4 linked regions of the Bombyx mori genome follow. The protein of the gene in region 2 binds, or shares a complex with, the protein of the main gene of each other region. Links are inferred from orthologs where the notes say so. Each region holds a gene or a part of one and is shown on either strand. Other genes may lie near its edges. The genes, in order: structural maintenance of chromosomes protein 2, condensin complex subunit 1, structural maintenance of chromosomes protein 4 and condensin complex subunit 2.

Region 1 (7,829 bases), on a different chromosome or scaffold from region 2:
CATATTATGGAGAGCAGGTAAAATAAATGTTTTCTTTGAGTGCATTGAGGTGTGTTGAGCTTGAGCATCACAAATATTGTTTCCACAACCACATGCATGAATAAATTAATAAAAGAAAGAGTCACCGGAAACAATTAACCAACCATTTGACTAAAACGATTCACTCTAATTTATCTTTGTAATTCGAATGTTTCCATCCAAAGACAGTTTACTTTCAAGAAGTGTCAAGTGTATCCTGCTGGGACCGCACCTCATTAAGAATCTGTTGCTTTGATGTGAGAGCCTGCTCGTCCTCAGCCAGTGCCTTTTCGAGTAGTTTGACTCTCTTCTCGTGTCCGCTCAGGGCTTCTTTGCTGCCTTTATATTGTGAACTTGCTGCTGCTTCAACCTTCTCCAAGTTTTGAAGTTCTACTTCCAAATCTTTGAGGACATTCCCACTCTCCTGATACAATAATTAAATGATTAGTGGTTTACATATAAAAAGTCTAAACTTTATCAGCTAACTACATCATCCGATGAATAATAACGACACGAATTGATAGCAGATTCCTTAAATTATGGATTAAACGCACTCATGGTTGCCTAATGCACAATGGATATCAGTTCCAATAACCATTACTATGTGAATTCTGCTCCAGATCCAGACATAAAGTGCAAGTCTCAAGTGTATCCCTTCACACCGGACCGCATAGAATGCGACAAGAGCCCCGCTCTGGGGCTGGACTCACGGACGAAAAGCGACGACTTACTGCTGTCTCTTACCTCATCCAGTTTTTTGTTTAAGTCAACAACTTGCTTATCCAGCTCTTTCATTTCTTTCTCATTGTTTTTAATAGTCTCTTTTTTCAATTTAATGTCGTCCTGCACTTGCGTGACTTTTCCCTCTGCTGCTTTGGTTTGCTCTTCAGCAGAAACATACCTGTAACGGAGATATCGTTTTAACTTTCGTGACTATGATGTGCTAAAATATTGCCTTGTTCTATCATGTAAATAAGTGGTTTAGAAGGGGAAGGTAATAAACATACTATGGACACTTGTGCATGTATACTGTAGAGAGAGATGTTCAATAAAATTGTTTTCTTTTCTTAATGTATTTAAAACAGAAAGAAAGAAGTACTCAACATACTAAGAAGTACTCAACATACTGACATTTTTGTGTTACACTGAACAGGGAGGCACACGGGCGGCCGCGCAGTCCTGTGGCGACTAGGAACTTAGGCAATGACCATACTCACTTCCAAGCGACACACAGCCTGGTGATATTCTCCAATTCTCTGACAACCTTCTGATATTCTTGGAACTGAGATCTTTCATCTTGCAGCTTCTGAAGTTTAGGTGCTATGTCTTCTCTTATTATCTATTTTGAACAGAAACAATTTTGCCACAACAGTTCTTTTAATGTATTTTCTGAGAAGTTTTAGTTCAGTTCAAAAAAATTTACATCTGATTAATTGTGATCCCTTCTACAAAATCATTATTTTATTCAAAAAAGTATTGGCAGTTCTGAAAGTCCACCTAAGTAGTCCTAGAAATCTACTAATTTGATGAAGTGATAAAATAGTTTTATTTGTGTCATATTATGCTTTAAAACGAATCGACATTTGTACAGTGTGCAGTGACAGTAAAATTGTACAATTGACTTACATCATTAAGTTCCCGGAGCTTTGCATCTTTCTTCTCAATAGTTTTCTGTGCTGCTTGTTTTTTAGCTTCATACATTCTTGTACCTGCCGCTTCCTCTACCATTGATAATATCTAACAAAAAAGTGGTATTGTAGCTGTATATATTTTAGCCTTCAGTGCAATGTGGTTATTGGATGCCAATGCTAAACATGAATGTCTCTAGTGCCAATTTACCATGTTCATGTTCTTATGGCCTTTTTATTGTTTATTGTATTTTATAATTATTAGAAGAAATTTGTAATCATTAGATCAGCTAAATTAGTTACATTTCATTTATTCACAAGGATGTCAAACACAATTACAGCACAGGTTTTTTGCCTTTTTTTATTACTTAGATAGGTCATTGAGCTCACAGCCCATCTGACTTTAAGTGGATACGGGAGCCCCGCCACCCACCGTGGGAAAAGGCATCCAAGCCTCAGTGTGCAATTACTGCCCCACCCTTGAAAAACGAAACACATTACTGCTTCAAGGCAAAAATAGGCAGAGTGGTGATACATACCTATACGAGCTCATGGGATGTTGTACTGCCAGCTCAACTTCAGTTCTCAGGGAGAGTGGTAGCATCAACATTGTCTTGTGGATATAAAACTCTTGTGCTCACAGCTTTTTTTTTATCTTAGGGCCAACAATGGCTGGGCAGCAGCCACAGAGCAAGGTTAAATGGAAATCTTCCATATCAGAAGACAAGATCTCAAGTTTACTGATATTGTGGCTAGTAAGTGTTTGAGGGAAAACAATATAAGAAACATCTTCCACCAAGCAGATAATTTTGTTCCATACACCAAAAGTCCAAATATTGTTTGTAACTGGCTTAACACATGCAAAGCTTCTTTTGAAAATGCCATTAGTGTGATTTCAAAATTTGTCAAATATTTTCTGTCCTACGATGGCACGAATTGGGAAGCATAAGGATATTACACCACATTTATTACTAAGGCTGTATGTCTCTACCTATATTTTAATCATCACAAATAGCTCAAACATACAATACAACTAATGCCACACAGTACAGAGAAAGAAAAAAATCACAAAGCAATTAAGACCTTACTAGAAATTACAGTGCACACGCTTTTAGAAAGATTAAATTTCATTCAGAGGAGTGAGAAAAATCATACGACTTAAAGTGAAGTCATATCCAAGACAAGATTTGAATGCAATCTAATGCATCATAATAGTGAAATCAGTCACTATACTTATCAAAGTACTAATCAAAGTATTTTGTAATTAGACTTGATGATTTTGATTCATAATCTATATATGTTTTTGATTATCTATATATATAAAAATGAATTGCTGGTTGTTAGTCTCACTAAAACTCGAGAACGGCTGGACCGATTTGGCTAATTTTGGTTTTGAATTATTTGTGGAAGTCCAGAGAAGCTTTAAAAGGTAGATAAATATGAAAATTCTCGGAATTCAATAAGAATAACAATTTTGTTTTTCCTTTGATGTATCCCCCGTCGGACGGATTCCTTGTGTTTGTTTTAAGTTTATTTTATACAAAAGTTTAGGTCTTGGCACTGCGAAGTCTGCCTGGTCAGCTAGTAAGAAATAATTATTTTATCCAGAACTTCAGTTCGTAACACTATTTACTAAGGTCATACAAGTAATTTAACTGCTGAAGCTGATGTATGGCTTACCTCAGGAGGTTTCATATTTAGCACCTTAGTAATCCTTCCCTGCATGATGAGGAAGTGTGGGTTATTGACATTAAGCTGAACCGAACAGAATAAGTCACTGACCCTCTTGTTTTGGACATTGATACCATTTATAAGGTATTTATTCTTACCACCCATCACCACCTGAAATTTATTTTTCAAATTGTTTCAATAATTGTTAAATAGCATGTTCTTTATATTAGTTTGATTAAGCAAATTTGGATGAGGAAATATAACTTTTGAATGCTATACGTTATTTCTTGTTTTGTTCAGCAAAGCTTATGAAATTTAGCTTGGTTTGCTAATAGTAAAAGTCAAGCTACTTGATCGAATGATTTGTAAATGATGTATTAAATCATGTCATCTCAAACATTTGAATATTGATTTATTAATCATGTATATATTCTTGGAACTATTGTATTCTTGGAACTTTTTAATAAAGTAATTTAATGGAAGCTTCATGAACCTGGAAACTTAGCAAATGGTTATTCAATTTCTAGATGTTTTGTTGATTACTAATTACTATTCCAATATAACTATGTCTTACCTGTCTAGTGACAGTAATCTCATCATGATTCTCATAGCCAATCGGACATTGTCTCTTATCTCTGTTGTCGAAGGTAATGCTAACTGTTGCTTTGGTGATACCTGCCTGCCCATGCTTGTAAATAAGCTCCTGCAAGCTGCTTGCTCGTACCTATTTTTTTATAATAAATTAATTAATAATTTAGGCACAAATTTTGTTAAACAAGCATTTTGACCAAGAAGCAACTATGTTTTATTGTTGGAATATTCATATTATTTATAATTGTACCCAGAAAGAAGCAGAAAACATCATTGTCGAGTTTACTTCGCATCAATCGATATTATTGTTGTACTAGAACTTGAAAAGTGTATGTTTTTATTTTCAAGTCATCATGTATTCTGATGCCCATAGGATTTATGTCGCATATTTGATAGGTAATTGAATATTATCATGAATAAACGCTGCTACTATATCGCCATAACCCTTAACAGTGAATGGTATTTGGCGGGAAATAAATCAGCAACAGTTGTTATTTTGTTAGCAATAATAAACTACAACATACATTCGATAAATTTGTGATTCCAAGTACGAAACATATAGAATCTAAGATATTTGATTTTCCAGTCCCATTTAGACCAGTGATCGCATTAAATTCTGGATCAAATCCAGTAATTTCCACTCGGTTTCCGTAAGACTTGAAGCCATCTAACACTATTGACTTAATAAACATGTTCAGATCATAAAAACAACAGTTATAGAACAAGAAAATTCATTAAAAATTTAAACTCATACGAATTCATCAAGCGTTAGAGAAGCCGTTGATTTTTTTATGAAATCAAAATTGATTTGTGTTTTTAAAATATTTTTGACATTCATTGATTAATGACATTGACACATTATATTTTTCTCGACAACATTTTTTTTAAAGATTTTAATTCGATTTAGATTAACAATATGGTAAAGAGGTAAAAAATTATAAGTGTACCGATTCTTTTTCTTTTCTTTATTGCATACTAGCTGACCCGGAAGACTTCGTAGTGCCTCTATCAATAAATAAAAGACTTAAACCTTTGAAGAAAATAAATTTAAAACAAACAAAAGGAATCCGTCCGGCGCGCGGCGGGGGGGACATCAAAGGAAAAACAAAATTGTTATTTTTATTTAATTCCGAGCATTTTCATATTTATCTATCCTTTTAAACCTTCATTGGACTTCCACAAATAATTCAAGACCAAAATTAGCCAAATCGGTGCAGCCGTTCTCGAGTTTTAGCGAGACTAACGAACAGCAATTCATTTTTATATATATAGAAGAAGAAGATAGATAACATCTCAGATTCAAATGTAATAGATTCTGATTCGAACTAAAATAAATTGTAGTAAGTACAGAAAATGAAGTATTTTAACCATGTAGTGAAAGTTCATAAGCGCAAAAAAAATCATAGGCCGTGGCTTCGGCCGTGGACGTGGACTTGACAACTTCCAAAAAGTCTACAAACTCAGACATTAAATCTCACCCTTTTATAAGTTGTAGCCCAAAGAATAAAACGCCCGATGAACTAGTATCATTATAGCGTAATCGTATAGCATTAGAACTAATGTCCAACAAATCGAAAGCAGGGCGGATGGATCTACTAGGACTTGTCGATGTAAATGACAGTGGCTGATTTTTGCACGAGCGTGAGCTAGAATGTAGTCAATAGTGTCTTTAATAAAGCTGTTATCATATAGCATCGATATCAAGAAATAGTGCTTCTATATCTCAAACAGAATAAGATACCCAGCGAGGATGAACTCTTCTCCGATGGCAGGCGGTGCGATGGTAAAAGTGAGATGATGGAATCATCTCAAAGAATTCCTCATAGCACTCCCCATGGAACATACGGTACAAAATACAGAGAAAAGCGAAGTCCTTCCGCAGACCCAGAGGTTCCAAATGATCCGTGAGATCCGGGATTATCGACAATCCGAGCGGCCCTTTTCTATATAGAGTGAAATCGAAGTAGCTCGTATTTGGTAACCCTAGCCCAGAGATGAAAAGGCTTTGTCCAGGCGTGAAGTACTGCTTTGCTCTGTTGAGGACTTCCAGCATCTTGGACGCCAACTTGGCTTTGCCTTCCAAATGACTCCAAAATTGGACAGACCCCAAGTATCCAGGTATTCTCGGAAGGTTGCAGGGATACTCCTTGGATTTGGCGCCATAACAAAGGGGTCCTTCTTCGTAGTTAACGCGCAAACTTATGTCTTCAATGGATTGAATTGAGCGAAGTTCAATTCGCCCCATTCGGAGATTAGCTTCGGAGAGTTCTCCACTTCAGACACAAGTTTTGATCGTCTCTCTTGCACCACGCTCCGTGAGAGACTCTGATGGCCGATATATCGCGCATCCCCCTTACTGTCATCCGCATAGCAATGCATATCATCAATAGACATCATGTCATTGACATTGATATACAGGATGAAAATCATATACTTCAGGAGTTGTGCATTTTTTATTCGCTCCATCACCTTGGAAAGTAAGGAACTTATCGCGGTAGGCCTATAGCTCGATGGCTCCGACCAGTCGCCCTTCTTGGGGATAGGGTGGACGTGAAGGGGTCTTCCATGAAGACGGATACAATAAGAGAGGCGATACAAATGCGTTAGCGCAGGTGTCAACTCAGGGGCGCACGTTTTCAGAACCACTGCGAGGATGCAGTCTGGCCCACTCGACTTATAGACGTCCAGGAGTCGGAGCTCCCGCCTGACTGCATACTGTGTGAAGCAGATCTCCGGCAGGGAGCTATCACACCGGAGGATGTTCGGTGGTATGGCACCCCCGTCGTCCACAGTCGAGTTCGACCACGTGCTCCGACTTAATAAGTTCATGACTGTACACGACCCGGTCTGTATGGCTGTTTCCGAGTCGTGTAATAATATTTTCTGCTGTCTGTTTGTGCGCTGGTAGAAGACGGCTGTTTCTTTCGATGGGTTTCGGCTTCTGTAGCGAGGTTTCACAGGTAACTGTCTGGTTCACTGGTAGCTGATTCACTGGTGGTTTTCTGATAACTGTACTATTGGAGAACTGCTGGTAACTGTTTCTGTCTTGCTGATGGTTCTTTGTCGAAGATTCACTGGGAACTGTTTCTGTCTTGATGTTTCTATGTCGGAGATTCGCTGAGAACTGTTTCTGTCTTGATGATCTGCTGAGAACTGTTTCTGTCTTGCTGATGTTTCTATGTCGAAGATCCACTGAGAACTGTTTTTGCCTATAAATGGCCATCCTTTTATATTTATTTCAGTACCCCATCTCGCGACGCGCTATCGACGCGCCACTTTTGGAGGGTCCCTTGATCTGTATGTTACCGTAGTGAAAGCGCTCCACAAATCGTTCCTATTGGTCTATTCACATTCTCTGATCTGATACACTAACATATTGCATATTAAATAATTTAAGATTATACAATTTTGTTACGTAATTACTTATTAACTATATTAATTGTATTTGTTCGATAAAACTATTTAAAATCAGTTTCGTCCTGCACAATGACAATTCCGCTAACTTTTCGAACAACATTCGCCGAACCCTTAACTTGAACGCGCAACGGTTAGTAATAGTCCTGATCTCAAGAGCAAGCGCATTCCATAGCAGAACAGATTGCACGACGATAGAGTTACGAACATAACTAGAACTATGTGTGGGACAACGAATAGGTTAAAAATAAATCGAATGCAGTTATTAAGAAGACGATCAAGTATTAAAAAGGTCTGCATTCAGGTCAAAATAACACACATCACCGTAATCCATTATAGGGAAGATCAAGGCTTGTACTAGCATAGTCTTAGTCGCTGATGGTAAGAAATTCTTGAGGCGATGCAGAGCACGAAGAATTCCAGAGGTTCTTTGTCCATCGTAAGATATTTGAGCTTTCCAGTCGAGTGTGGAGTCTATGTAAAGGCCTAGGTTCTTAACCACGGAAC
Region 2 (8,113 bases):
GTTCGAGTACGGTACGTTGTCGGTTTACCGGGACACAGTTCTCCCGTTGCAAACGACACCAGAATTGGAGCACCTTATGAAGATTATTTATTACCAAATGCTTATATATTGTCATTTATACTTTTACTCGGTATGACTTTTTTTTATTGCCCTTGTAGGCAGACGAGACGAGGCCCACCTGATGGTGAGTGGTTACCGGCGCCCATGGACTTCAGCAATGCCAGGGGCAGAGCCAAGCCGCTGTATACCGCTTAATACTCTCCACGAGACCTCGTTTGAAGAAGGACATGTCATAGCGCTCGGGAAACTATACTTATAGTAAACTAAAACTAAACTATAATTATAGGGTTTTTTTTTCTTTTGTTCTCCTTTTAACAATAAACTGACTTCTTGTTCTTCGTGTATTATATACGTACAGAGGTTGTTTGATTGATTTTATTAGAAATGCAAGTATTTTATTAGAAATGAGAGCAAGGGCGAGGCTCTTGCTGTGAGCCTTGATATCGCGAAGGCCTTCGACAGGGTCTGGCATAGGGCACTTCTATAGAAGCTACCATCTTACGGAATCCCTGAGGGTCTCTGCAAGTGGATCGCTAGCTTTTTGGATGGGCGGAGCATCACGGTCGTTGTAGACGGTGACTGTTCTGATACCATGACCATTAGCGCTGGCGTTCCACAAGGTTCGGTGCTCTCCCCCACGCTTTTCATCCTGTATATCAATGACATGCTGTCTATTGATGGCATGCATTGCTATGCGGATGACAGCACGGGGGATGCGCGATATATCGGCCATCAGAGTCTTTCTCGGAGCGCGGTGCAAGAGAGACGATCAAAACTTGTGTCTGAAGTGGAGAACTCTCTGGGGCGAGTCTCCAAATGGGGTGAATTGAACTTGGTTCAATTCAACCCGATAAAGACACAAGTTTGCGCGTTCACTGCGAAGAAGGACCCCTTTGTCAAGGCGCCGCAATTCCAAGGAGTATCCCTGCAACCTTCCGAGAGTATTGGGATACTTGGGGTCGACATTTCGAGCGATGTCCAGTTTCGGAGTCATTTGGAAGGCAAAGCCAAGTTGGCGTCCAAAATGCTGGGAGTCCTCAACAGAGCGAAGCGGTACTTCACGCCTGGACAAAGACTTTTGCTTTATAAAGCACAAGTCCGGCCTCGCATGGAGTACTGCTCCCATCTCTGGGCCGGGGCTCCCAAATACTAGCTTCTTCCATTTGACTCCATACAGAGGAGGGCCGTTCGGATTGTCGATAATCCCATTCTCTCGGATCGTTTGGAGCCTCTGGGTCTGCGGAGGGACTTCGGTTCCCTCTGTGTTTTGTACCGTATGTTCCATGGGGAGTGCTCTGAGGAATTGTTCGAGATGATAACAGCATCTCGTTTTTACCATCGCACCGCCCGCCACCGGAGTAGAGTTCATCCATACTACCTGGAGCCGCTGCGGTCATCCACAGTGCGTTTCCAGAGATCTTTTTTGCCACGTACCATCCGGCTATGGAATGAGCTCCCCTCCACGGTGTTTCCCGAGCGCTATGACATGTCCTTCTTCAAACGAGGCTTGTGGAGAGTATTAAGCGGTAGGCAGCGACTTGGCTCTGCCCCTTGCATTGCTGAAGTCCATGGGCGACGGTAACCACTCACCATCAGGTGGGCCGTATGCCCGTCTGGCTGCAAAGGCAATAAAAAAAAATAAAAATAAAAATGCAAATGCCTGTAACTATAGGCTACAAATAAGATGTGGATGTGATTTTTTTAGTAATAGCAAAGACACAGCCATGACTTCTTTGAAGGACGTTTCCAAAAAGCTTAGTTTGGTTCTAACTTGACGGCCGTCTGGTGTAGTGGTAAGTGATATGGTCACTACACAAGGGAGTCGCGGCTTCGAATCCCGCCAAGGGAAGATATTTGTATGATAAATATAAAATGTCTTTTCCAGGGTTATGGATGTATATTAAATATATGTACGTGTATAATAAAAATCTTACATTTATTTCCGTTATCTGGTACCTGTAACACAAGTTCTTTACGAACTTAGCAAGGGACGAGTTAACGTGGCGTGTAAAAAAAAAAAAAACTAACCTTATGGCGTACATAAGCGGATAGATCGTGTATGTGCTCATACAAATCGTCGAGGAAGTCGTCGCGCTGTATGCGCTGCGCGTCCGACAAGCCCTCGCCGCGCAACTCCACGCTCAGCACCTCGCACATCATCCCGAGCACGCTGATACGGAGCGTGTATGACTGTCAACCAAAATTAATAGTTTCTTTTTACACATCCTTGGCTTTGATGGACAATAGATAGCATTGGACCGGCCGCACTGGGGATCACTTGGAGAAGTCTATGTTCAGCATTGGACAGTGGAGAGGCTGAGATGATGATGATGATGATGAGATTGCATTTTTTTTTATCTATTCTAGTAACTTCGAGGGGTTATTCTAGATTCACCGAACTAGTAGGTGAGCTCGCGGGGCTCAAACCTGACGATGTTGTTGCTAACACGAACCCTAGCAAGAGCCGTGCTCCAAAGAATCTACCACCTGATCGGAAACGCGACCCTCTTTTTGTACCGCGTTTGTACATCCCGATGTATTTTTTTTTAATTTTGTTACTGCTATCCTGTTACGATTGTCTATTAGTGATTAACTTAATTTAATTTAATTTTAATTCACAATTTTCATGATAAGTTAGTTTCATGAAGAGATATTTCAATTGGCCGACCTCAGTAATACTGTGCTGATATAAATGTATGTACATGGGTAAGTTAAGATGTAGTAATGTAATATTTAATTATTAGCGTCCAAAGCAGAAGAGCCAGCAGCTCCACTTGTTTGCATAATTTCTATCACGCAAAAACATCAGTTATACAATACAACAACAATACAGGACATAACTTTTGCCCTTGTAGGCAGACGAGCATACGGCCCACCTGATGGTGAGTGGTTACCGTCGCCCATGGACTTCTGCAATGCCAGGGGCAGAGCCAAGCCGCTGCCTACCGAACTATACTAAGGCCTCATCAAACGCCCTAGAAACGTTAGGAATAGTTGATATCTTAAAATAACCTTGTCAGATCTGTAAGCTGTTTAAGTACTGACTAATATCTTACCTCATCGCTCTCCAAATATGGTTGTAATGTCGCAATTGCATTGGCCATTTCTTTAGGTAGTTCTTTGGTGAGTTCCAATAAGAAAGCCCCACAGTTCCTAGCTGCACTCTGCTCTGTGCCTGTTGTTTCTTCCTCAGTTGACGCCAGAGCTTCTGCTATTTCACGAACCTATTGTAGTATAGTTGAAAAAGCAATGTCATTAAATTCCTGGGAGCAGTTAAGTAGCACCAAGTCGGTGTAACTTTTACCTCAGTAATTGTCTGTATCGTGTTGTTTCTTAAGGATAGCGTAGGTTTGTGATTGGTATAGAGTTCTGTTGCAGCTCCACAAAATATTAATTTACTAAGTCTATTCGTGTTTAGTTTAGTTATTTACTATTATTACTTTATTTTACCACTTTATACAGCAAGATATTAAGTGAGTTGTCTGTCTGTGGGTTAAACTAAACGCCGAAGCCTTCGTCGCATTCAACGGGTTCGCTGAGGACGGTGCTTAAAATGCCTAAAAACATCAAGAATTGATCAGAAGGATCCAAAATAATGATCCTAATACACAGTCATTAACGTTTTTAAAGTTATTAGTGGTGACTGAGATTACCACCCGATCGTTTGTATGAAATTTTTGTAACACAGTTAAACATTGATGATCATATTCTTAAACATATTGTGTTTGTCTAGCAGAAATTGATAACATAAAAATGGTTGTTCCTTTTTGCTGTTCCTTGCTTCTCATTTTAGTTGATCAGCCGTATTTATTGCTTGTTTTTATTATTATTCAGATTATATCAGTTTACAAGTCTTAGAATAATTTTTACTAAGTTACCTTATGTAAAAAAGAATTCTAGTCAAAAGATACAAAAGTTACAGCAACATATTTTAAAAGATGAGAAGATTTATTCTGAAATAATATATTTTCTATTACCATTTGTGGCCCAAAAGTACCAAGTCCAAATTCTTTTGTCAACTGTACTACTCCAGCACATATTGGTGACACAGCATGCTCAACCATTTGAAGTATCTGAAATAAAATTTTATTTATCTTTTTACTGTTCTTTTAAAAAACATTTTTTTTGTTTATTACTTAGAATATGTAGTCAAGTTCATGACTGAGTAAAAAAATCAATTCCAATCAAGTCCGTGTGATTGCTTTGCGACCGAAATAGCCAAGTGGCATCTTATTGTTTTGTAAGAATAAAAGGTTTAAAACCATATACATACCTGGACGAGTTTAATGAGACATGATGTCCCATGGTTATATTTCTTTATAAGGACTCCTAGAACTTGGAACACAGTGTCTCTTATAGCTTTGTTTTTGATCATTTGTTCTTCTAGTGCTTTGTAGCAAGGATCTGCTATCATTCTAAAAGTATTTAATTTCATATTTTCATTGTATTTTTTCTACAAAAGCTCTTTTATTGAAATAGCATTTATTAATCTTAAATTTTTTCACTTTGACAGTTAGCATAAACAAAAGATTAAATTATTAATTTTCAGAACCAATTGGAATAAAGCAATCACCAAGTGTTAGTATATGTATGTCTACATAAATAATAGATTAATATGAGCATATTGTGATTGGTTAATGTGATTATAGGGATAAATGCATAAACTTGTATTTACAATTTTATTCTATAGATTTGGGTGATACTAACGAAACAAAATTATCTTCAGCCAATGGAGGGTCCCACAATCTTGATAATGGTTGTTGTGTAACCAAGTACAGAGTGAGCATTGCCGCTTGCTTGTCAGATTCTGTCCAACCACATAATTCTTCTTCTTCTGTTGCCTTCTTACCTTTCTTGCCCAATGTTAGCTTAGTGGAATTCTGTGACATGAAAAAATATTATATGTATACATTTGAGATTTAAACCAAACCACACTTCTGTTTGTTACTTGTAAAAATCTCTCAAAGCAATCAAAATCCTATAGATCTAGCTTATATGAAAATAGAAAATACTACATTAATCTGGGTCTTGGTGACCTCGGCCTCTTGATGTCTAGGATACCAGAGCCAAAAACAAACCACATGAATGCTTTTACTCACTTTAACACACGAAGATGAACTCATAATGTTTTTTATCGAAAATATAACTTTCTTCAGTCTGGCCAAACATTGTGATAAAACAAAGACAAAAGTAAAAAAACTTTATTTTTACAAATAAAAAATGATGATGCGGGAATTATACTCACATCAGCAGCCAATTTGGTGTCTTTTGTTTTCATTATTTGGGTGAAGAGGTACATTATCATTTTAGTAATATTTAGATTTTTAACCCTCACATCAACATCCAATTCTTGTTCCTGGAGTATTAATTCTAAATGACTGCATAAATTCTTAGCAGCCCTTATTATGTGGTCAAAGCCTGAAAACCCAATCTAATCTTGGAATAGGTAATTCATATCATATTTCATACCTATCTTATGATATATTAACTGGTGGTAGGGTATCTTATGAGCTTGCATGGGCAGGTACCACCACCTTGCTCATTTCTGCTGTGAAACAGTAATGTGTTTCGGTACTAAAAGGGTGGGACAGCAATTGTACTGTAACGACAGAGACTTTCAACTCATGTCTGAAAGTGGGTGGCAGCATTAATGTGGTTGATGTCTATGGGCTCCTGAGACCCCTTAACACGAGGTGGGCTGTGATCAGATCAATAAATAAAAAATAAATAAAATGTCTTACTATATAATATATTGACCCAATCAATGAAAATTAGATAAGATCATATGCGTTTTTTGCTATGTCCCATTAATGAGGTTCATGAGTAGCAGTATCTCTTAACCATTATGTGTACCATAATATACACTTTATACTCAACTGCCATTGATGGAAATAATAAAAATCTTATTACACAAATTGTCCATAAAAAACTGTAAGACTATTTAATATTCAGTTCCTTGTTATATTTATAATTTGTTTGCTATAAGCATAAATTACCTTTGTTGATGACATTCCACTCCAGTTTCACTCCATGTACAATTATTGAAAAATATGTATCAAAATGTTCAAGTATATAATCAACTCCTACAGAATTATAAGCACGGGCTCCATCTGTAAATTTGTTTTCATTTGTAGTAAATATCAATTTGGTTATAAGTAAAATAATGAAACTGGACAACTACAATGTTTTATGTAAAAATCACCAATGCCCCAATTTTAAAGGACTTTAGAAAAAATTAGGATCGTATAAAGCTTCGGCAATTATATGAACTTAATATCTTTAAACATAACAAATTTTTGAGTGAATACCTTGTAATTTCGACAACATGAGTCGCGGTTGTACTACATCCTCGACGTGATATTGTCCTGCATGGGATTCTAATAACTCGTCCTTTTGTAAGGGAATAGCAAATTCAAAATGACTCATGTTTTGCTATCGCAAGGATTTTAGTAAATATGTTATCACATTTATTAAGGTAAGCTGTTTAAAGGTTTATTTATATTACAAACTAAACTCAAACACCGCACCTACAAAATCAGTTTGTTTTCAAAATTCAAATTTAAAGTGAAGTTGACGTGCATGACATATATGTCAACTTTTTCACAGACCATCTGGAATTTTTATTTAAGTAGGTATTTGAACAGGATCAAAGTTCCTTACTTTTAAAAATAGAACACTTCAGTTATTTATTTATTTATGTACACACAAAAAGAAGACATAGTACAGAGTAATAGGAAAATTATATACAAAGGCACTGCTTATTTCATTAAGAAATCTCTTCCAGCAGACTTGCGAGAGGATTATGAGAATAATAATTAAAAGTGATGTGTGTGTAGAGCAGCTCAAATAACAAATACAACATGAGAATTATAGTAATGCACATACACATAGCAAATATTGTTAAACAGTTAATAAGTTTGGAAAACATTCGTTTACAAAAAATTTGGAACCAATTGAAAATTTTCGTGTAAAACATTCGAATTTTACAATACATAATATTTGTATGCATAGTCACAATAGTTGCATGGACGGCAATGAAAGGCAAAGTAGGTTTTTTCCTAATGTGAGGCTTTCTATCAGTTAATTCCCTTTTATAGCTCCCGATGGCTCCTTGGCAATATTCACCTGAGCGTCCAAGCCCGGCCAGAGACAGAACATGGGAGCAGGTACGACCGTGATCAATACTACTCTAACTAGACGACCGACGTCATCTCGAAGATTACGCAGATAAAAGCAAACACGACTGATTGATTGAAAATTGAAAGAATGCTGATATCAGATTATTCGAGATCATCATAATTAGTCCACAAATGTCTACTGCTGGAGATAGGCCTTCACGAACGATAGCATATCTGGTGTTTAAGAACGCACTTTTTATGATGCGTAAGCCGGAACGCACGAGACGTGGGAAAAAGAAGATAGTCTGTGACATAAGACCTTTTTACCGCCAAAAAATTTGAAACCGAAAAAATAAGATATAATGTGTATAATAACTAATATAATATAATAACCTAGAATTGTTTATGCCGCTTCAAGTATAAAACTCCTATTGTTTCAACTGTGGTGTTAATTACGTAAAACATGATTTTACGGTGAAATAAAGAAGGGACTCTATATGGACTCCCTCACAGTAATAATCGGATCTGCGCAGCACGCATACTACGGATTTCCATTACCTTTAAGATGGCGTTGGTCTAATTTGTCAGAGGCCTACCTATTGGTGGACATTAAATAACTTTTTGGCTCCTTCAAGCTATATCGGTTATCTTGGTTCTCCTAATTGTTATAAGATAATATATCCATGGTTGTACAAATTTGGTGCATCAGACCTTATTTTATACAATCATTCTACGCCATTCAAATTCGGTAAATTATAGCACATAACTCTGACTCAGTAAAAATGTTATTTTGTACTTGTGTTATGAGTTTATGAGTTTTTTATGCTGGTATTACTTTTTGACACGTTGCCTACATGTCACTTGACGTTTAACTTTCGTTCGCCAGCAAAGAAGGCAAGGAAGCTGACGTATAGAATTCTAAGAGTTGTCTTGCC
Region 3 (7,363 bases), on a different chromosome or scaffold from region 2:
TCTGAGCTGCCAGTTTATTCCTCAGATCATCCACAGAACTCTCCTCCAGTTCTTCGGGGGTGTGCTGACGCAGCGGTTCCGGCCTCTCCACCCCAGGGATGCCGTCTAATCCCGAGTCTTCTAACCTTAGACTTGATAGCTGAATACAAAATTATTAATTAGAGGTATAGTAAATGATTTAGTGATCAATAAATAGTAGAAAGCTCTACTCATTTTAAATTGTAAAGTGACTGTTTATTTTTAATAATTAATAAAACCTAGCATACATGTTCTTGGCGAATATCACTAAATATATAAAATAATATATCAGTTGAGTATATATTATATTGAGTTTAGGATACTCAACCACGTGAGTTGCAGTTTTTTTAAGGGATTTTATGACCTGGTAACTGAGACCTTTAAGTCATGTCTTATTTTAATGTATATTCATATTTTTATGAAAAATGATGTTATGGAGTGAAATGAAATGAAGATGATTAATTTGAGACATTAATCAACTGGGATGAAATTAAATAGTAGGCAGCGGCTTGGCTCTGCCCCTGGCATTGCTGAAGTCCATGGGCGACGGTAACCACTCACCATCAGGTGGGCCGTATGCCCGTCTGCCTACAATGGCAATAAAAAAAATGAGATGAAATATGAAATTTAATCTCAGTAAAATGGTGGTCATTTACTAAGATTTTTTCAGTGGATTTTTTGGAGGATTCCGAGAAGTTACGTCCAGCGGCTTTGTTTCATTTTCCCACATTTGTGCACTTTCACAGATATTAAACAGTTAATAAACAACCATTATTACACATTTAAACCCGAACAAACACTAAATAGACAAAATAAAACAAATCACACAACTTCACTCCTCGCGTTCCCGCCAAAAAGTCCTGAGTTGCAGTAGAAATAAAAAAAAAAAACAACTACCCACCTCTTTTTCCCACAGAGGGATCTTGCTCTTGCAGTCGAGCACGGACTTCTCCATTTTGCTAACAGCATTGGCAGCTTCTAAACGCTCACTCTTCAGCTTATTTTCTTTCGATTGTAATTTCGCTATCTCCTGTTTAAGCTCTGAAAATTCACTGGTGCCCTCGTTGATTTCCTCCTCCAACTGCAATGATAATCCTCCTCATGTTAAGAAGTAAGATAAACATTATGAATATATTAGGATGTGGGTCGGTTGTCGAATTATGGTGAAGTATGCAATTAATTAACCACTATACAAAATATAATATGTAATTAATAACCCTATAAACTTCTTTGTATAATGTTCTAATAATATATCAAAATATTATTACTCCTTTACGAGTATTTTCTTCCTTTGAAGTTGAATCTTTGTTTTTTAATATAGATACGAATATATAAAAGTCTCCGTGCTATTATGCAATAAATGTAGGCACAAATAAAACTTCAATCTATATATTAATACGTGAAGCAAAAAGTTTGTATCCTTTTTTACGAAAATTGCGCGGACAGAGGAGTATGAAATTTTCCTCACTTATAGAGAATATAGAGAAGAAGTGCACAATGCTAATATTTTTTTTAAAGAATGCATAAAAGATACATTAAATCAATAAAGAAAAGATTACACACACTACATACCATGTATTTGACGCACACACGCATGCATACTATTTATTGTCAAACTTTTGTTCTTGACGTCTTGTCAAATTGAGAATAGAATATGGTTTGTCTTTGTTAATATTTTTTATAGTGTAGTCTTGGCGAAATTTGTGATTATAGAAGTATAAAATACAATCGTAATAGTGTACAAACTTACAATTCCAATTAGTTATAGTCGAATTTCGACTACTGCGGGTCCTCTAGTTTCAATAATTCAATAACGTCATCTTTTCAATAACTGTTCACTTTATGTGACAACAAAACGATTTCTCGAATTCTGATCTCAATTCTCACAACTATATACTTGGCAGAATATAAAGTAGGTCTTTTTTCCGCCTACGTGCTGGGCGAAGTCGAACAGTCCAAAAACTGTCCTTTTATAGTCCAGACCCAAATTCACCGAAACAAGCAAGAAGCAAGGTGATAAGATAAGAACTAAGGAGTTGTCTCGTAATATATAAATATAGCCAAAATTACTACCAAAGAAGATCACGTATATAGGCATTTAACAGAAAAGTAATATTTGTAACCGTACACACCTCTTCGAATTGCTTTTGATATTGTTCGCTGTCCAAAACGAGTTGTTTTTTCTGTGTTTTCAGACTTTCTAGAGTTTTATCAGTTTCTTTGAGATCTGCGTCCATCTGATTGATCTTATCTTTCGATTTGTTTGCATTCCTGTTCAATAATACAAATTTTAGTAAAAGCACAATTGATCAGACAAGATGCGCTTACAAGATTACATCTAAAATGGCATATTTGTTTATGTTTTGAGCTTGGATTTAATGAGAGACTGATTGGATAGTGAATCTCCCCATCTCTTTCGCACATCTTTGTTTTAATGACAGTGACGTCATAAACACTATATGTATTTTTTGCTAATTACATTATCCATCAGAAATATTCCTAACTTGTTTACTAATAAGAAAGTTGTTGCGTTCTTAAAATTTCATAAATACACCATCAGACAGTCTTGTAGTAATGGCTAAATATGTCTTAAGTGTAATATCTGTCGTGGCGTGCAACCTCTTTTACAGGACATACGACTATTTACAGACTGTCTTAAATGCGCCACCCACCTTGAGATATAAGTTCTAATGTCTCAAGTATAGTTACAACGGCTGCCCCACCCTTCAAACCGAAACGCATTACTACTTCACGGCAGAAATAGACAGGGCGGTGGTACCTACCCGTGCGGACTCACAAGAGGTCCTACCACAGGAATGAAATTTTGGCATTTCTAAAATTTGTGTAAGTCAATCACTGGCGGTAGGGGGGACACACGAGAATGAACGTCGCTCGCTCCCACGGGGGGACGGTGTGGTGCAACACTGCGCCAAGACTAACTGTGACTAGGAGGTCATCGCTCACCGCTTGCTGGTGCTGATCGCGACCTTCAGCTTCGTAGTTTCAGTCACGATCTTATCGATCTTCGCCGTAAGTTCAGTGACCTTCTTCTGTAGGTCCTTGACCTTGCCGCCGGCTATCTTCGATATCTGCGCCTCCACCTCGTTAACTTGTTCTTCGACCTACAACATAACGATTGACGCGTGCTTTACAATTTTTTTTATGGATTCAATTACTCAGTTAAGGTAAAATCTGATGAGAAGATAATCAAATCGTGGTCTCTTATCTATACTAATATTATAAAGCTGAACAGTTTGTTTGTTTGAACGCGCTAATCTCAGGAACTACTGGTCCGATTTGAAAAATTCTTTCAGTGCTAGATAGCCCATTTATCGAGGAAGGCTATAGGCTATATAACATCACGCTAGGACCAATATAAACGGAGCACCAATAAACAATGTTGAAAGAATCGGGGTTAAAAAATTATGGTCGAATTGATAACTTCCTCTTTAGGAGTCGGTTAAAGAGCGTGATTTTGGGTACCTTAAAGAGCTCCTTAACATTGTATTATTCAAAAATATTTTTACTTTCTACGTAAATGAAGAGGCGGGTAAAATTTAGCGTTATACAAAGTAACTATGGGACTTCGGTATTTTGTACCGTATGTTCCATGGGGAGTGCTCTGAGGAATTGTTCGAGATGATACCGACATCTCGTTTTTACCATCGCACCGCCCGCCACCGGAGTAGAGTTCATCCATACTACCTGGAGCCACTGCGGTCATCCACAGTGCGTTTCCAGAGATCTTTTTTGCCACGTACCATCCGGCTATGGAATGAGCTCCCCTCCACGGTGTTTCCCGAGCGTTATGACATGTCCTTCTTCAAACGAGGCTTGTGGAGAGTATTAAGCGGTAGGCAGTGGCTTGGCTCTACCCCTGGCATTGCTGAAGTCCATGGGCGACGGTAACCACTCACCATCAGGTGGGCCGCATGCTCGTCTGCCTACAAGGGCAATAAAAAAAAAAACTATTCCACGTGGACGAAGTCGCGGGCTAAAAGCTAGTATACTTATACAATATAATATGTAATCTGTAACATTCATCATGCCAAAGAATTATCGCTAGAATTATATACGAAATTCAACGTAACTACAAATACAAATACGAGGAATTCTTCATTTACGAGCAACTAAACAACAAAGTTCAGATGTTCTTATAAACTTATGGAGGGGCAACACGAGAGGTTTCCCAAACAAATTCCATGGACGTACCTCTGCAGCATTTCCTGTGGCCTCATACAGTTTCTCTTGCGCGTCTTGCAGAACAGCCTCCAGCTCGGCTTTACGTTGCTGGTCCACTTTACTCGAAGACGCTCTTCGTTCTTGCGCTTTTATTTGTTGCTGAAATTACATCCAAATTCAAACATCCACGGTACGAGGAGAAACCACGTGGTACTATCCACCGGCACCGCACCAAGTTTTTTTTTTTGAAGTCAAACTTCTATTGCGACTTCCAACAAGGTTGCGTTAAACGTTTAACGCTACTATACTAGAAAGAGACAGCGAGAGTGAACGCGCGGCACTCGAACGTACGCGCGTAGTATACCCGGCGAGCGTTAGCAACGAGTAGCTCCAATATTTTAATGAAGTATTTAAATATATAGATGTTATATTTATTTTTACAATCTATAATTTAAAATATATATAATAATATATATAAAAGTGAATCGCTGTTCGTTAGTCTCGCTAAAACTCGAGAACGGCTAGACCGATTTGACTAAATTTGGTCTTGAATTATTTGTGGAAGTCCAGAGAAGGTTTAGATAAGTATGAAAATGCTCGAAATTAAATAAAAATAACATTTTGTTTTTTCTTTGATGTTTGTCCCCGGTCGGACGGATTCCTTTTGTTTGTTTTAAGTTTATTTTATACAAAACTTTAGATCTTTTATTTATCGATTAAGGCACCACGAAGTCTGCCGAGTCAGCTAGTGTATATAATATAAATGTTATCGCATCTCTTATATACAGCATTCCCTATTACAAGAGCAATCTGATTTAAGAATGTAAAATGAAGAAAACCACAATACTACACATCGAAAAAGAAGAGTCACTTCATTCACGTGCACCAAGTTGCACCCGCACCGTTTTTTTTTCAGCAATTTCCCTACAGCAATAGCAACAGTTTCCCTAGTACCGGTCGGTACTGGCATCCCCTCTCACCTCCAATTCAGGTATCAGTTGTGACAAGCTCTTCACTTCAATTTTAACTTTATTCAAATTCGACATTCCCTCTTTGGCTTTTCTTTGCAAGTCAGACAAAGACTCTTCTACGTTTGACTGCTCGTTGCGTAATTCAGATAATCTGTAAATGTATTACGAATTATAAACAAAACGACTTTTTAGCGGGAACGCGAGGAGTGAAGTTGTGTGATTTGTTTTATTTTGTCTATTTCGTGTTTCTTCGGGTTTAAATGTGTAATAACGATGGTTTATTAACTGTTTAATATCTGTGAAAGTGCACAAATGTGTGAAAATGAAACAAAGTCGCTGGACGTAACTTCTCGGGATCCTCCAAAAAGTCCACTGAAAAAATTTCAATAAATGACCACCATTTTACTGAGATTATATTTCATCCCATATCATCTCATCTCATTTGATCCCAGTTGATTAATGTCTCAAATTAATCATCTTCATTTCATTTCACTCCATATCATCATTTTTTATAAAAATAAGAATATAAAATAAAATGAGACATGACTTAAAGGACCAAATCATAATATCACTTAAAAAAAAAAACTGTGTTGTAAGCGTATACCTAAACTAGGGACGCTCGATATACATCGATGTGTCATATCATTTCGATGCATCAGTTATATTCGATGTTTTAAGATATATCGATGTATTCCAATCCATATATCGAATAAATATCTCCATAATAATTGTTGATCTAACGGTTTATTTTTAAAATTTTCAGTAATAATGAGATGACATTAATATTGCGAAGACTAGGATTCAGTATCACAATATTCCTTTGCCTATGATATAGACTGTATAATTTATGGTCGACCGCTCTTTTACTTCATACTTCACTGCAAGTTAAAATTTTGAATTGTTTAGGTTAATCCATAGTGGATAACTAGTTGTTACAATACTGAAAAGAGAATTTCAACATATACTTGTTCTTAAATTTTTTTTATCGATATATCGCAAAACATCTATGCCACCGCTCCGACTGATGCATCGCAAAAAACATCGATATATATTTTAAATGAACATCCCTGACCTAACCCTGTCGTACTCTGGTCTCTGTTTGGTTGTCAAAGGGTTCAACGTGAAGCCTAACTCATACATCAGCCCGCTGAGTTCCTATCTTCTCAGCGTGTCGCAATTTGGGCCTTTGAGCTGTCAGATAAGCAGCATCTTGAGTCTGCCCCTGGCATTGCTGAAGTCCGTAGGCGACGGTAACCACTCACCATCAGGCCGTATAGTCGTCTGCCTACACGGGCAATAAAAAAAAAGATCCTCTTCGGAGGCGTTAGCGAAGTTCGCCTCTTCAACTGGAAAGGTCTCCGGGGCTCCAAAAAAAATAAGGACCTCTGTTCGAGCTCAGCTAGTTTCCTCTCGCTGGTCTGCACGGCCGCGGGGTCCAGCTCGCATGTGTTCTGCTGCACCGAGCTGCCCATACGACCGCGCATCGTCGACCGCCCGCCTCCCGACATTGTACCTTAAACATTATACTTATTTATTAACACTAATAATAATAATAAAATAATTTATTGCCCTTCAAATAAAAGAAAAGAAAAAAAAGAGAAAAAGGCAAAAGGGGGTGACTCAGCTAATGCTGTTCAAGGTCCGCGTCGAACCCGTCGCTCGACGAGCGAATAACCCATAGAAACAGCCCAATGAGCTTCTCGCCGGATCTTCTCAGACTGTCGCGTTTCCGATCCGGTGGTAGATTCTGCGAAGCACTGTGCTTGCTAGGGTCAGTGTTAGCAACACTCCGGTTTGAGCCCCGTGAGTTCACGTTAGGGTGAAGCTGAAATAGCCTCTCAAGGCTATCAGCATAGGTAAAAAAAGCCTATGTCCAGCAGTTGTTATAGGCTGATGATGAGACCCTTCGTGGCACTCACCGGCAATTTCGATGACGTCTCCTTTCAGGGTCACAACCCTGTACCTGGTCGAGCCGTACGCGATCCTCGAGGCCTGCTCGAGGTCGGCGGCCACGAGCGTGTCCCGCAGGCCGAAGTAGAAGGCCGGCAACACTCGAGCGTCCTTCACTTTGATCAAGTCGAAGAGACGCGGGACGTTCTCTGGGCTGGGGACAAGCGATCGGTAGCTTAGTGGCTGACTGAAGGAATGTTTCTTGAATAAATGTGTGGGATGTCCTAATAGAATGAAGCCAT
Region 4 (7,906 bases), on a different chromosome or scaffold from region 2:
TGACAGTTTATCAAATTAAACAGAAGATTCATATGTTTGGGACGGTCATTAGTTTGATAGCTAAACGAAATGCAGCACGATTCCCGAGAGATGGCAGCACCATTGCGGTAACATCGGAACTCGGCTAACTTCGATGACCACTACGACAGAGCCTAGCCGATGGAGGCGCGTAGACGCTATCACACTTACCAATCAGCATTCTTGAAGAGGGGTGTCTCCATCCTAAGAACTGTCATTCGTTTTCGTTCGCTAACGCCAAGAGAAGATTTCTAAATTGATCTAAGACAACAACTACAATAACAACAAACGTGACGTTCTAACAAACGTGATTGGTGTGCTCATTAATTCTCTTAGCTCGATCACCCTATTCGCCCCTACCATTTCTGACGATGATGTTAATAAATGTGGCTACTCAGACATATATTTATTCAATATTTAGTGAATTGAATATATAGCCCGTGCGAAGGTAGCCTTATAGATAGGTAGAATTAAGAACCTCTGTTGTTTTTGAGTCTCCAGTGCGCGGGCCCCGCCCATGCGGCGGCCAGGGAGCAGTAGGAGTACTCGAGGCGCGCGTGGTGCGGCGCGGAGGGGCGCGCGTCGGCCAGGCGGGGCGCGGGGAGGGCCACGCGCGCCACGCACGCCGCCACGGCCGCGTCCGCCTCCTCGCCGCTCTCCACGCCTCCCAGCGGCTCATCGTCTGCAAACGTTAACCTTTACTCGTAAAACGCATCGATCTTTTTTTTTTTGCTTAGATGGGTGAACGAGCTCACTGCCCATAGAGACCTATAACATACCTTACCTATTGACCTTAAAGGTCTCAATATGGTTACAACAGCTGTCCCATGGTTCAAACCGAAACGCATTACTGCTTCACGGCAGAAATAGACAGGATGATGGTACCTACCGGTGCGGACTCACAAGAGGTGTTGTTGAAAAACAACATTTATTGTACAGTTTGCAAAACTCACCATACAAATCATTGTGTAAGTCATCCTGAGGTATCGGCTCCACTTCAGCATTGACATCAAAAGCCAAGGCTTGCTGTGATAGATTCAATCTGTTCTCTTCCACCCAATTTGTCACTCTGTTTTCCCCACTACAAAATTTATAAGAATTATTTTAACCATACCCATAACATAACAATATACAAAACCACATTTTTTATTTTTATAGAATCTACTTCTATTAAAACAATCAATAAATTAATGTTAAAACTAAATTATAATTTTGCACAACACATATGATGCGTAGCTAATCATTTTGTATCAGTGTCTGATATCTACACTTTGGTATTTGTAGATTTCATCCTCAAAACATGTCAAGCAAAATAAAGTTGCATTCACAAAAATTGTTCCTATAAAATTGTTATACTAAAGTCCAACATTGGATACTATACCCAAATGTATAAAAAAAAAAAAATTTATCGCCGAGACACAATGCGCGCGCTCGACCATGAGATGTCTGATAAATTTAGATTTAGAATTGTATCCCTTGTGTTGGTTGGAACTCTTAGAAAATAGCCAAATGTTTCATTCAGCATATATATTATGGCACTAACTTGTCTTCGGTATCCGGATCCCAATTGCTTATAGAGAAACCCGTGAAAGGCTCACATAATGCATCCGTTTCTAAAAACGGCGGCAGTAACTTTACGGCGAGGGTGATGCGGTGTGACAAGTCCAACTCTTCAGGGATGTTCTCCTTGACAGGTTCTAAAAACTTGGTGTCGGTCCTGCATAATGAAACAAACAAATCTTGCATGCTACCAAAAAATAATACATCACTTTAAGTTTTTGTTTGAATACTATTTGCAATTAAGAGTAATTAAGTAATTAATTATATATAATTTCTTTTACATTGGATGAATCAAATTTTACTTTTTTACTTAAAATTAGGCTGTTGGAATATTTTTTTAAATACTTCAATTACTATACAACTAAACCATATTAAGCATTTAGATTTTAACATTAATGAGAATTAGTCAAACACAATGATCAACTCCTTCCATTACTCTTACCTCAGAATAAGCGCAAGAGTTTTGTCATGAATTGGTAATGTAGCATTGAACGCTCTATTTGATGATGTGACATCTCCTGTAGTTGCGGCCAGCCTCTCAAAAAATGGATCTATATAAAACACACTGTTTTTAAAAAAAAATTACAAACTACTTCTATCAGCACCCATGAGCCTACTAGAGAAAGAATATTTAAAATTGTAATTAGTGTTTATCTAGACACCTGTGTTCATCATAGTGGCTTATAAGGTCCAATCACTCATTAAGAATAAAATTGTAGCATATGAGATTAAATTAAACAATTTTAGGATAAATGGAATTATCTAAATTCCATTTATCCTAAAATTGTATAATTGAAATAATATGTAGACACAGTTTTAAAATTTTATTTTATTAACTCATAGGTTCATTAATTACGTTTTTGTTGTATTTTTGGTAATATGCATATGGATAGCCTTCTGGAACGCACGGGGATAGCATGTAGGTATACAAACTTACCTATACAGTCATTGATGTCGAAATCACCATTAAAAACTTCTGGATTTGCTGCTATCGCTCCTTTAGATCGTTTCTTTTTTTTCTTAATGGGTGCAGCATTCACATCTCCATCTAATGCACCTTCGTCTTGTATATTTTCATCATCTTTTTTGCCTCTTTTTGACTGGAATAAAGATGTTATTGCATAATTGTAATTAATTTTACGGTAGTAGTTTATCATTTCCACCAATAACAGTAAATGAGAAATTCATTTGGTTGAGAACAAGGTGAAAGGACTACTGGATTGAATTTAGTATCTTTCGAATCAAATATTTAGGTTACAGAGCTAATTGTGATGATGGTATGAAGTCACTTTTAGAAAATACCCTAAATACCTTAAAACGGTCCAGATCAGGTGCAGGATGACAATGGGAACTATACATTTAATGTCAATCAAGAGTAAAAATAGTATTAGTAAACAGTGGTTTACCTGAGCAGCTTTAATTAAACCACCAGCCATTTTAAGTACATCATAATGCACGGCATCAACTCTGAATGAGTATATTCTAGCAGAAGCATCAACCACAGTGGAAGCAGTTTGCAAGTTATCCATACGAGCATCGTGACGTCGAAGCATGGAAGTCATAAAATCTATCAATTGTAGATTCCATGCATTGTCTTTTGTTATTTTCTGTGAAACAAAGAAAATCGTTGAGAAAACTTTATAAATAATCAATAAATATATTTAATTTTATTAAGAAACCAAATTAGCAGTAATCTTACAATACATTTTCATCACTTTAGAATTTTATTTCAACTCAACTAAAGCAAATATATTTTACACTTACCGTGATAATAAGTCAATTCTGAATCATAAATATGAGAAAGTAACATAAATGTGAGAAGGTTTTTGAACTGTTATTTCAATTCCTTAGAATATATTATTATTATCTCATCAATTAGTTGTCAGCAAACTTACATTTTCTGCATAAAGTTTAAGGCAACCTTGGAAATGTTCTTTCTGTGGTGATGAAGACATAGTCTCCCTTCCACGACGTGGAGATGCCTGTGGGGTAGATGCAACCACGCGATCTGATGCCACAAGTGATGACCTTTCAGCATCATCATCATTGCACTCCTAGTTGTTAACAAAGATTATATTACGGAAAAAAGATTTTTATACTTTTAGACCAAATATATGTTTTAAAACTTTAATAATTACAACATTAAATTTAAATTTAATAAATAATAATAACTTTTAAATTTGCTAGATTACATTCTTATATAGTGTGAGGAAGTATTGCTAGACTTGTATTGATAAACTTAATCTAGAAAACAAAATATATTTGCAATCAAAACATACACCTAGACACTTATTGTTTTAGTATCATTGGACAATTTTTGGATTATTCAGACATGCGGAAAACTTGTTATTTTATGGTTGGTGTATTAACAATCAAAACTTCATATTACTTATTAAAAACCTAATATAATAGAATGTGACAAGAATAAAAAAAAAATCTAGTTTTAAGCTTGTCCTCTGTAATTTTTATAACTAATGCACGATTTAAAATACAGCCACTGCCTTTAAATAATTGAAGCATTCATATTTGCTCACCTCATTTCTTGAATTGGCCACTCTATTTTGAGGTATCAAACTACGTCTTCTAATTGAAGTGTTACTGCTCCCGCCAATACTAATCCTGGATAAGGCAGGCGTTGAAGTTAAAGGATTTTCCATCATTTTCCACTTCAATCGTCTTGAGTTATATTCGTATTTTTCGATTATAATTACACAAGTATATTACAAAAACAAACATAAAGTGAAATTTGTATTCAACTAACACGAAAAAGAAAGAATTACAAACTCAACGGACATTTGGAAATTTAAACAAATTGTTTGGTAGGATTATTTTGAAGTTTGCGGTTTTGACAATAATAATCTTTTTTTTTTAGACAGAAAAAATTAAGGGCTCATACAATACAGCCAAAACTTTATGTTATTTTGGGACAACGTTTATTCAGTGTGGTCAGGCCTTACAAGATGGATCGACAACCTGTTGGAATTTTGTTATGGAATCCGTTAGATACAGGTAGTCTGATCATTATGGTGAACCTTGGCTTATGTCTAGCCGTGTATATGTGTGAGCTAATGATGATTTGAAATCAAGTCTTGCTAGTTATGTAAAAAGTAAAAGTTAGCGAAATTAAAAATAAGTTGAATATCAGAACTAGACTATAGGATAAAATTGAATGAAATGAGGTAAACTGAATTAAAGTTGATTAATTGGGAATTCAGAGAATTCAATTAACTTTTTGGAAGAAGAGAAGCCACTTTTTGAGATTTTGTTTTAATTCCCATACTTAGTCTTGAGCATTTTCACAGATGCTAAATGGTTAGTCATTAACCATTATTTTAAGCTTAAGCCTGTAGAAGCCCTAGCAAAATAGTACAATTACTTAACTTTTTTTATTGTCCTCGCAGGTAGACGAGCATACGGCCCACCTGATGGTGAGTGGTTACCGTCACTCATGGACTTCAGCAATGCCAGGGGCAGATCCAAGCCGCTGCCTACCGTTGAGTACTCTCCACAAGCCTTGAAGAAGGATATGTCATAGTGCTCGGGAAACACCGTAGAGGAGAGCTCATTCCAAAGACGGAGGGTACGTGCCAGAAAAGATCTCTGGCAGCGCACTGTGGATGAACACAGTGGCTCCAGGTAGTATGAATGAATTCTACTCCAGTGGCGGCAAGTGCGATGGTAAAAACGAGATGATAGTATCATCTTAAACAATTTCTTCCAGCGCTTTTCAATTTTTTTTTAATTTTAGATACTCCTCCTTTACCAGTCCAATTGCAGAAAAAACATAATGGTCAGTGATAATTATATATATTTAAAGTAGGTACATACTTAAAAACTGTGTAAATAAGCAATATGCGCATTGGTATACCTATAATATACCTATAATTATGTTTATTACTAATACTTAAACCCTATAAATCTATATATTTTTGTATGCCATGGAGTTAATAAGTGCTTACAACTACTAACTTAATGTCGTATACTTTTACCTGTGATCTATACCTTCAATTTCCGTTCTACTCTTGATCTGTGAATGTGAATTTTGGATCTTATAATTTCTACACCTACTACAAACGTTTTACTGGTAGCGAAGAAATGTGAACACGAATTCGGGTGAATTGAATCCACATGATATAATATGGCGCGAAGTCAGCAAATTGTAGTGTATAATCTATGGATCGCCTGTGAGACTATGCGAGTCTGTAATTTATTCGGCAACACTGGCTGTTTGTAAACGCTGCGCTTGTTGCCAACTTCCCGTCAGTCATTTTGTTGTTTGTTCTGATTTATTCGGTGGATAGTTTTTCAGTCTTTGAAATCGTCGAAAATCTTTGTCATCGAAATCGGTCAAGCAAAGTGACATAATGAGTTCTGGAATGCCTGAATTAGGCTCCAAAATAAGCCTAATATCGAAAGCTGACATTCGTTACGAAGGCCGACTTTTTACTGTCGATCCTCAGGAATGTACTATCGCCTTGGCTAGCGGTAAGCTAAAAAATGGATTCTTTCTCTTTAAATTTTTATGTAAACTATTGGTTTGCAGTTAATGTAAACGTGAAATATTGTAATGTCTCTAAAACACCGCGTTTCATCATTAATTCGCCAGAAATCGTAAGTACTCGAGAAAGTGCTAAGATTTTCCCTCCGTATGATCCAAGTTCACCTGTACGAAAATTAAACTTTATAGATAGAAGAAATCGTCATAAGATAAAAAGTTGATTCTTGCAGGACATCATTTTTTTTTCTACCCTCTTTAAATGAAATAGAAATGTGCCTTTGATTGCGTTTACACATTGGTGACGTTGTAAACTGTTCTTGCCGTACACCGTATATAACAATTGTTACATTGAACACGTCGTATGAAACGTCTGAATGACTAGCTATATTTAATAAAAAAAAATGTTATATTGGAATATACACCGTTGACCTTGAAAATCATATGCTAACTACCTTCAATTCTTGTAAGATTAAATATCCGATAATCTATTTTCTAATAAGTTTCATATTAGTCATTTGATTTTGGTCTACCTACTATAAATGTAATGTATGTAACTCAATTTAAATTAATTAAACAATACATCTTTTATCCTCTGGAGAGCTACATTTCCACATATACTGTACAATGCACAGTCTAAAACATGTAATGGGTCCATACTAGATAATATAAAATTTAAATATGTTGGTTTTCTCTTCATAGTCCCATGAGCTTTAATCATAATTCAGAAAAGGGGAATAATTTGAAATGGAAAAATTATTTTTACATTTGATAGTTGTAAATTTAAAATTATTACAAAATCAATCTTGAAGTTTAGTAGTTATTGAAGCTTGAAAAAAGTCAAGCATGAAATACATTTCCAATCATCTTATACAGCTCTTGATGGTGTATTTACAGGCTTGTATATGTTATTTAGCATGCGTAGCTTGATATCCATGGGGTAACCATTATTTGCAATATAATTATGCCTCAAAAATTAGTAAATGTCTATTGTGGATACAGAAATGGATTAGATATGATTTGATAATAGTTGGAATGAATTAGTATATGTATGTTGTTTTATCATGATTGGTTATGGTAAAACAACATACACGGTTGAAGACCAGGACAATGCACAAGAAGATGTATATAAAAAAATTAAATAATAGTATATAGTGTAAAGTTTACGTCATAGTTAATTTTCAAAGAAAACAGATTACTAACTATTGTATTTTTTCTTTTAGTGCGTTCATTTGGCACGGAGGATCGAGAGACTCAATATCCGGTAGCACCTCAAAGCCAAGTATATGACTACATTCTGTTCCGTGGTTCTGACATCAAGGATATCAGGGTGCTAAATAATGTTCCTTCAATGCCCAATGATCCTGCCATTATGCAGATGTCTGTACCCCCAACTCTGGGTACTGGACCAGCTCCTGGGCAGTATGTGGGGCAGTTTAACCATCCAGTTGTTGGACAAACTCCATATCCTCAGTATCATCCAATGGCTGGCTTTCCAAGTGGAGTTCACAACCAGCTCAACAAGACGAGTGAGTTGTCTCCTCAACAATCTGTGGAACTGGCATCACAAGCTCAGCCTGTAACGGCTCCAATTGGTTCTGGAGTGAACCACCACTCCAACCAAGTGAAAGACCAAGGTTTATTTTTAATGAGCATTCAGCTTGAGCTTCAACATTACTGCTTATTATATAAACACAAAGCATATCATCTGTAGCTAACATAATAAATTTTGGTAGCATCTTGATGTGAACAAAATTGTGACACAGTAATACTAATAAGGTCAACAAATTATTCAAAAGAATTGTTCTATGCTTCTCTAAATAAAACTAAACT

What was found.
Region 1: condensin complex subunit 1 (region 2) and structural maintenance of chromosomes protein 2 share a complex: the UniProt entries of both Homo sapiens proteins name them as parts of the condensin complex. The link is inferred for Bombyx mori from reciprocal best matches to the Homo sapiens genes NCAPD2 and SMC2.
Region 3: condensin complex subunit 1 (region 2) and structural maintenance of chromosomes protein 4 share a complex: the UniProt entries of both Homo sapiens proteins name them as parts of the condensin complex. The link is inferred for Bombyx mori from reciprocal best matches to the Homo sapiens genes NCAPD2 and SMC4.
Region 4: condensin complex subunit 1 (region 2) and condensin complex subunit 2 share a complex: the UniProt entries of both Homo sapiens proteins name them as parts of the condensin complex. The link is inferred for Bombyx mori from reciprocal best matches to the Homo sapiens genes NCAPD2 and NCAPH.

Annotation. Positions count from the first base shown.
Region 1 is NC_085131.1:14,293,034-14,300,862, forward strand, and holds the start of structural maintenance of chromosomes protein 2, read right to left. Parts: upstream 4,743-7,829; 5' UTR 4,601-4,742; coding exon 4,433-4,600; intron 4,042-4,432; coding exon 3,892-4,041; intron 3,489-3,891; coding exon 3,327-3,488; intron 1,756-3,326; coding exon 1,645-1,755; intron 1,358-1,644; coding exon 1,236-1,357; intron 920-1,235; coding exon 763-919; intron 443-762; coding exon 251-442; intron 1-250. UniProt on the Homo sapiens protein: Central component of the condensin complex, a complex required for conversion of interphase chromatin into mitotic-like condense chromosomes.
Region 2 is NC_085114.1:10,417,623-10,425,735, reverse strand, and holds the start of condensin complex subunit 1, read right to left. Parts: upstream 6,651-8,113; 5' UTR 6,487-6,650; coding exon 6,369-6,486; intron 6,171-6,368; coding exon 6,057-6,170; intron 5,479-6,056; coding exon 5,306-5,478; intron 4,941-5,305; coding exon 4,768-4,940; intron 4,476-4,767; coding exon 4,334-4,475; intron 4,134-4,333; coding exon 4,038-4,133; intron 3,285-4,037; coding exon 3,117-3,284; intron 2,251-3,116; coding exon 2,089-2,250; intron 74-2,088; coding exon 1-73. UniProt on the Homo sapiens protein: Regulatory subunit of the condensin complex, a complex required for conversion of interphase chromatin into mitotic-like condense chromosomes.
Region 3 is NC_085134.1:4,024,178-4,031,540, reverse strand, and holds part of structural maintenance of chromosomes protein 4, read right to left. Parts: intron 7,276-7,363; coding exon 7,091-7,275; intron 6,685-7,090; coding exon 6,555-6,684; intron 5,323-6,554; coding exon 5,181-5,322; intron 4,360-5,180; coding exon 4,231-4,359; intron 3,141-4,230; coding exon 2,983-3,140; intron 2,290-2,982; coding exon 2,151-2,289; intron 1,100-2,150; coding exon 920-1,099; intron 168-919; exon of another isoform or gene 140-167; coding exon 1-139. UniProt on the Homo sapiens protein: Central component of the condensin complex, a complex required for conversion of interphase chromatin into mitotic-like condense chromosomes.
Region 4 is NC_085117.1:9,015,937-9,023,842, forward strand, and holds the start of condensin complex subunit 2, read right to left. Parts: upstream 4,501-7,906; 5' UTR 4,239-4,500; coding exon 4,113-4,238; intron 3,633-4,112; coding exon 3,474-3,632; intron 3,186-3,473; coding exon 2,985-3,185; intron 2,679-2,984; coding exon 2,516-2,678; intron 2,130-2,515; coding exon 2,021-2,129; intron 1,736-2,020; coding exon 1,562-1,735; intron 1,100-1,561; coding exon 972-1,099; intron 701-971; coding exon 497-700; intron 1-496. Other genes in the region: protein LSM14 homolog car-1, read left to right, coding at 5,943-6,063, 7,297-7,710. UniProt on the Homo sapiens protein: Regulatory subunit of the condensin complex, a complex required for conversion of interphase chromatin into mitotic-like condense chromosomes.